Linked DNA regions of Mus musculus. The protein of the gene in region 1 interacts with the protein of each later gene in a pairwise test. Links are inferred from orthologs where the notes say so. Each region holds a gene or a part of one and is shown on either strand. Other genes may lie near its edges.

Region 1 (3,817 bases):
GTGTGTGTGTGTGTGTGTGTGTGTGTGTGTGCTTAAAGAGGCCAGAAGAGGGTGTTGGATCTCCTGGAGCTGGAGTTACAAGAAGTTGTGAGCAACCTGACACAGATGCTGCGAATCCAACTCGAATCCTCTAAAAAAGCAGTCCTTAAGTGCTGAGCAATCTCTCCAGCCTCTCCAAGTTAATCTTTGAACTAGGGTCTCTCACTGAACCTGGAGCTAGCTGATTGGCTAGAATGGCTGGCCCTTCTATCTGCGCCCTACAGTTGCTGGGGTTAGGGGCACACCACAGTGCCTGGATGTAATGTGGGTGCTGGGAATCCAAAACCAAACTCGTGCTTGTTTAGCAAGCACTCTACCAACTGATCCTGTCACCCAGCTTGAAATCAAATTCTTGACTACAATGGATGGAAACACTACAGCTTGCAGTGTGTTAGAAGTGATTGATGTTATTCCTGGGAACACCAGAAAGAAAAGCTGTCTGGGGAGATTTCTGGCTTACCTCGTCATTCCAAAGTCTGAGACTTTCACAGAGAGATCACTGTCCACCAAACAGTTCCGAGCAGCCTTGGGAGGGAAAGCAAAAATCTCCAAGTAGTAAAAGCAACCAAGAACCTCCCAATATCAGACTCAGATATTTTCCTCCCCTCAGCATCAGTCTCAGCAAAATCCAACACAGCCTATCACAATCCTGTTTGTTCTGAACTTAAAAAAAAAAAATCTCTCATAAGTTGGAAGACCAAAGTGTGGATACTTTGCTCCTTCTTAGAATGGGGAACAAAATACCCTTGAAGGAGTTACAGAGACCAAGTTTGGAGCTGAGACAGAAGGAAGGACCATCCAGAGACTGCCCCACACAGTCCATCCCATATACAACCACCAAACCCAGACACTATTGCATATGCCAGCAAGATTTAGCTGACAGGACCCTGATATAGTTGTCTCTTGTGAGGCTATGCCAGTGCCTGGAAAATACAGAAGTGGATGCTCACACTCATCTGTTGGGTGGAACACAGGGCCCGTAATGAAGGAGCTAGAGAAAGTACCCAAGGAGCTAAAGGGTCTACAACCCTATAGGAGGAACAATAATATGAACTAACCAGTACCCCCCCCCCCCCCGCCCCAGAGCTGTGTCTCTAGTTGCATATGAAGCAGAGGATGGCCTAGTCGGCCATCAATGGGAGGAGAGGCCCTTGGTCTTGCGAAGATCATATGCCCCAGTACAGGGGAATGCCAGAAAGTGGGAGTGGGTGGGTTGGGGAGCAGGGCAGGGGGAGGGTATAGGGGGCTTTGGGGATAGCATTTGAAATGTAAATGAAGAAAATATCTAATAAAAAAGAAAATAAAAGTTTCCATTTTTTCCAAAAAACGCATGTTCACCCAAGCATCTGAACTACTTGAAAATATACTTGAACACAGAATCTCAGCTTATAAACATTTGCTGAAAGGACCCTGATATAGCTGTCTCTTGTGAGACTAGGCCAGGGCCTAGCAAACACAGAAGTGGATGCTCACAGTCAGCTATTGGATGGAGCACAGCGCCCCCAATGGAGGAGCTAGAGAAAGTATCCAAGGAGCTAAAGAGATCTGCAACCCTGTAGGTGCAACAACATTATGAACTAACCAGTACCCCGGAGCTCTTGACTCTAGCTGCATATGTATCAAAAGATGGCCTAGTCGGCCATCACTGCAAAGAGAGGCCCATTGGACTTGCAAACTTTATATGCCCCAGTACAGGGGAAGGCCAGGGCCAAAAAGGGGGAGTGGGTGGGTAGGGGAGTGGGGGGGGGAGGGTATGGGGGACTTTTGGGATAGCATTGGAAATGTAATTGAGGAAAATACCTAATAAAAATATTTAAAAAAAAGAAAATATCTAATAAAAAATAATTAAAAAAAAGAAACAAAAAAAAATCTCAGCTTATCAAGGACTTCCACTAGATCCTGTGCATTCCCAGATGCTTGGAAGTCATGCAAGGCTTATGGGATGTATTGGCCTGCTATGAGCAGTGTGCTTGGCCTCAGCAGAAGGAGGTCTCTAAAGCTGAAGACCAGCGAGTACCAAACAATACTCAGAACTCCTGCCCCAACCCAAACACACACTTTCTTTCTGCCCCATCCCCCTCTTTGACTTTTTAGTTACTGTATCAAGTCACTGCTTTCCCAGTAGGCTCTCAGAGTCAACTTCAGTTCAGTGGTTTTGAGAAACACTAAATTTGCCTGAGTCATTCCGTTTGTGCTTCACATCACAGCACGGGTAGCTATGGAGAGCCTCATGACTTATTTTGCTCTGATGGCTCTATACGTCTTTCAAATATTGTATTCTACAATTGTGATATTTTTATTACAAACCCATCACATGCTTACAGGAGTCACAATGTGCAAAGTAAAGTGAAGGCCTCCTCTTTGTCAGACCTCCCAGCAGCCCTGTCCCTGGAGGAGGGAATGGTGGGTTATGTTTTTCTCTCCTCTCATGAGCTTACCAAATCTCGATGTATGAACTGATGGCTCTCCAAGAAGGCCATGCCTTCACAGACATCATAACACATTTCTAAGAGCTGGCAACTTTCTAGTCCTTTCCCATGACTCTTCAGGTAATTAAGCAAGCAACCATTTGTTATATACTCAGTTACTATATAGATGGGGTATTTCTTTGAGCATACTCCGTAGAACTTCACCAGCTTGGGATGGCTGAGTTTCCTGAAAAAGAATCGATTTGACAAGTTCATTTACGAGATGTCCCAAGCAGAAGAAAAAGAGAGGGGGGGAGGGAGAGGGAGAGGGAGAGGGAGAGGGGGAGGGGGAGGGGAGGGGGAGAGGGGAGGGGGAGGGGGAGGGGGAGGGGGAGGGAGAGGGAGAGGGAGAGGGAGAGGGAGAGGGAGAGGGATGTCAGGGAGCTTTGGATCTTGTTTTGGGAAACAATAATGTTTGAAGGCAGGAAAGAAAACAGATCTCAGCCTCAGATCTGAGACTGGTGAATCTCACAGCCACTCAGCAGTGCTCTCAGCCTGGAGATACTGCATTCAGCTTGTCTCCCAAGAATCAGAGTAGTGTTATGTGTAGACAAAATATATTAATTTGAAGGGTGTATGTAACATAAAAATGGTTGCTCTTTGTGGAAGTGAGACTACATATAATCCTTTGTTTATATCTCTTCTTTTGTTCTCTCTCCTTTTGATTTTAAAAAAGTGTTCATTTGTGTGTGTGTGCATGCATGCATGCATGTACACACTTATGAATGTGCACATGCATGTATATTTTTCTGTGGTGCCCAGAGGACAACCTCAGGTGTCATCTTCAGAAAGGCTACCACGCTCCTTTTGGGCAGAGTCTTTCACTTGTCTGAAGCTTGCCCAGCAGCATACACTGACTGAGCAGTGAGCCCCAGGGGTGCTACTGTCTCCACCTCCACAGAGCATGGATTAATTTTACAGATTATTTATAACACACTTTGGTGACAAAATACACTTTAATATTTCACCAGGAGACACCACTATGTCATATACCAAGAAAGTTTTTGTTTTTAATTTTATGTTCTATGAAAGGGGGACACCAAGGGGCTTTCTTTGGCTTTATATACCAGTCTAGTTACATAGGACAGAACTATCTGTGTAATTTGCAAGTTCCTTGAAAAAAATGAGAATAGGAAAAAAAACAATTGTTCACAACTTAATTTGAGTTACACGTGATAGCTCATGACTGGATTTTCTGCACTTAGGAGGGTGAGCTGGGGTTCTTGCTGTCATTTTAAGGCTAAGTTGGGTTATGCAGTAACTTTCAAGACACCCTGGGCTACAAAGTGAGACTGTCTCAAAAACACCCC
Region 2 (3,817 bases), on another chromosome or scaffold:
AGCCTGCTGAGAAGGTCCGGGGCGCCACGTCTGCTGCTGAGGCTGACACCGTCCTCTCCTTGAGCCTCAGGCCTTCGAATCCATGTGTGAGCCCTGCGATTTCAATACTGTTCCTCTTCTGTAGGTGGGCATGGCGCGCTGCTGTGAGGGGCTCGCTGACCTCCTGCAGAGAGTGAGCCACGGGCAAGCTGTCCTCCTGGAAGGTCTGCACTGAGTGATGGACGCGCCTGGTGATGAGATCCGGATTGCTGCTGCTGATGTAGAGGTGGCGGGACAGGTCTGGGGTGCTGTTGGCAGGTCTTGGGTAAGGATACGGCGGGGGTGGGCGGTACACCTGGGTTCTCATAATGTTTGGAGCTGGGTAGTCCTGAGCCTGCAGCTGCACATTTGTCAGTTCAGGCACACTCACGGCGCCCACCACTGGCCGCCTCTCGGCAGGGTAGGGATACGGAGACTGGCTGTGGAAACTGTAGTTCAGGTTAAAGGGGTAGTGGGCTGACTGGGGAGAGGTGAGGTGAGGGTGCTCCCGAATCTCGGGCTGGCTGTAGACCAAGGCGTCGGGCCGGCTGTACGCATAGGAACTGCCAATGTTGAGGTTCCTCAGCGAGTGGCTGTGCCGGTCTGCGTGCACCATGCCTCTGTTGAGCTGCTTCATCACGGTCTCGTAGTCAGGGGTCGGGCGGTAAGACGGGGGAATGAGCGCACTGTGCCGGTGGGACGGGATGTAGTCGGGTCTCATGACATCACTGCCAGTGATACTCGGGTTGGAGGACATGGGGGAGGGCTGCAGGTAGGGCTGAAGTGTGTTTAAGGAATTCGTACTGTGTGCACTGTAGACGCTGCCGTTGCGGATGCGACCACTGAGGTCAATCTGGGTTCTATCCAGGCTTGTCTGGGAGTGACAGTAGAATCCATTCTTGTTGGGCACAAAGATGTTGTCTGAGGAGGAAAAAGGTTTTAGAAGATTCTGAAAATGTATTAAGTGGGACCCATCATTCCAGCCAAATACTGAGATGGCCCTGAGAGAGCTTGTAAATTTTCTTGCTAAAGTGACACATCTTCAGTCACACTGTTACCCCGGGGAGTTTCAGCTTCCTCACCTACAGGATGGGGTAGGTCTGTCTGTCTGCTTAAAGTGAGGTGCTGAGGATCTAGCCAAATCTCAGACCAACATTGTTACAGGCATTCTGGAGCATTGTGGGACTCGGGGAAGAGGTACTTGTTGACAGCAGGGAGCCAGTTTGGGTAGGGGTATAACCCCACGATGCTGAGCTAGGGAAAATAGCAACTCTCTGTAAGCGCTTCCTTAACTGGAGGTTTAGGTTGTTTGCATACGGTCTTCCTCGATGAAAAGAATTCCACCGTAAAAGGGCACCACGGTGTACAGCAGGTACAAAGCTTTCCTGCCCAACACGGGGGTCACTGGTAGTCAGAACCAAAAGTTACCGCCAAAGGCCAGGAAACCAAGAAGAATAAGGCTAAGATAACTATAGTTGCCCCACCAAGCCTGCAGTTGAGCAAGACATGGATCCAGGGCTCCTAACTCTCCGGCAGCAGTATGTCTGTCTGGACTAGAGGCGGCTGTCTTTCTGCCACTCGACCTACAGCTCCCCTGAACTGCTTTCTGAGTACTATTTCCAAAGCTAAACACAAAGTCAGCCGTCAAAGCCCGTGGAAATACTGTGTGCTGCTGAAGCTCCGTGACTACCCACTGGGCACGTTTTGTTCTGCTACACACAGCTCTCAGAGCCTCTTCATTCCTCCTGCCCCACCCTGTGCTTCTCTGTCTGCAGAGCTCTCAGCCATTGCTAGATCTCTAGGTGCCTTTCTGGTCACAGATCCCTCACCCATGTTGCCTAGACCAGTGTGACACCCACGGCAGTGTCCCTGCCTTCATGCTCTCTAAGAGCACACAGAACTGTACCTCTTTATCCCTTAGTGCCGAGCACATACATGAGACGAGTGACAGGAAGGAGAAAGTGAGCAGAGGGTTTTTTGTTTGGTTGGTTTTTTGGTTTTTGGTTTTTCAAGACAGGGTTTCTCTGTGTAGCCTTGGTTGTCCTGGAACTCACTCTGTAGACAGGCTGGCCTCGAACTCAGAAATCCGCCTGCCTCTGCCTCCCAAGTGCTGGGATTAAAGGCGTGAGCCACCACGCCTGGCTTAAGTGAGCAGAGTTAAGAGGCAGTTTCAGAGGACTTCCTCCTCCCATCTCCCAGTGCCATGGCCAACCGAGTGGGTCCTCCACAATGGCAAAGGCTCCTCCAGTCTGAGCCCCCGATCAGGCTAACATGGAACGGAGCCCCACCTGACAGCACACAGCAGACAAGGACTGTGGTCAAGAAGTAAATCCACTGCCTGTGGACTGCGGGGTGGCTGGGGTAAGGGTGTGTGGGTAGCAGATCAGAGGGGCAAAGACAGGCTCTGCTCAAATAGAACAAGCTAGAGAGTAGCAAGCAGTGGGAAGCGGGATGGGGAGGAAGGGTAAGGGAGCGTAGACACAGGCGAGGAATGGTGGAGCACATCACAGATTCAGCGGGGATCTTTGTGTCTGGTGAGTTGAGGAGTGTGAAGACAGAAGATACAGCTCATGGGACGGAGCTGCTAGTGGGAGGTCTGAAAGAAAAAGACCTATGTTGGAGCAGGAGCGGGGGACGTGGAGAAAGGGATATGGAGAACACAGTGTATGATGTCACAGGTTATGGCTGGCTAGCTGACTGGCCAAAATTACATGCAGCTTGGAATCCACATAACCAAGAAAGTGAGTGACTTCATCACAATAAAGGGCCCTGGAAACAAACTTAGAGGTCAAGCAATGAGTTCAAATATAATACTCAATTTCCAGCAAGCCCTGATAGCTGATACCAGTTCTTCAATGCCTGTTTATCGTTAGCTAGAGAGCCTCCATGCAGGGTTCCCACATATGGCCATGGCAAATGGGGAATGGGTAGAACCCAGGAATGACGACAGGGTGGGGAGGGGAAACTGAGTCACCATTATGGAAACTCTATGAGAAGGAGCTGCTGGGGAAGCCCCATCAGGAAAGAAAAAAGCACAGAGCAGGGAGATGATTTATGGAAAGCCCTGAGAGGGAAGCAAGGGCCAGAGCACAGAGACATCCGTCTCAGATGCAGTGTAGGACAAACTGGAAGAGAAAGTCATCCAAACCATAGCTGGAAGAGAAAGGTGAGAAGAAAATGGCAGGACCCTCACAGACTGAGGTAGGAGAATGAGGGTCATGGAGACGGGAGGCAGAAGCCTTGTCCCCATGGTTGGAGAGGCTACCATGCACGTACAGATGGCCACATGCAGAGGAGAGGACAGCAGTGAGACAGCCCCAGGGGACACTGAAATCCACACCAGAGCTCTGCTCCCCGATTGCCTTCCTTGCTGTGGGGAACATCCTCAACTGGCAGAGAAGGCCACAACAACAAGTGCAGCCAACACCAGTTCTTTGTGTCCCTTCAGATCCCAGCCCCCACATGATGGGCAATGGACCCCACTTCTAAACAGCCCCCTCTCCTGTGCCACAGCACTCACCAGCCAGAGCAGCAGACCGAGTCTCAAACCTGCCTGGAACTGATGAAATCCAGCCATCCTGTTAGATCCAGAGAGCTCTTCAAGTGCCCACAACATGACAAACGGCATGCTAATACATGCTCTCTTAGTAAGGTAACTGATCACATCCTGAGCCTTGTTTGTACAATTAGATCCCAAGCCTCTGTATAAAGAACTGCTGCCTGTATCTACCTCTCTGGTCTTCAGTACAGTTAGACACAGTTTACAAACAAACTACACAGATGGTCAGGATTCAGCATG

Evidence for each region.
Region 2: the proteins of Bmx (region 1) and Ptpn21 interact in binary tests that used the Homo sapiens proteins (3 or more experiments, as listed by UniProt). The link is inferred for Mus musculus from reciprocal best matches to the Homo sapiens genes BMX and PTPN21.

The regions. Positions count from the first base shown.
Region 1 is NC_000086.7:164,202,691-164,206,507, forward strand, and holds part of Bmx (cytoplasmic tyrosine-protein kinase BMX), read right to left. Parts: intron 2,695-3,817; coding exon 2,478-2,694; intron 565-2,477; coding exon 500-564; intron 1-499. UniProt on the Homo sapiens protein: Non-receptor tyrosine kinase that plays central but diverse modulatory roles in various signaling processes involved in the regulation of actin reorganization, cell migration, cell proliferation and survival, cell adhesion, and apoptosis.
Region 2 is NC_000078.6:98,688,690-98,692,506, forward strand, and holds part of Ptpn21 (tyrosine-protein phosphatase non-receptor type 21), read right to left. Parts: intron 940-3,817; coding exon 1-939.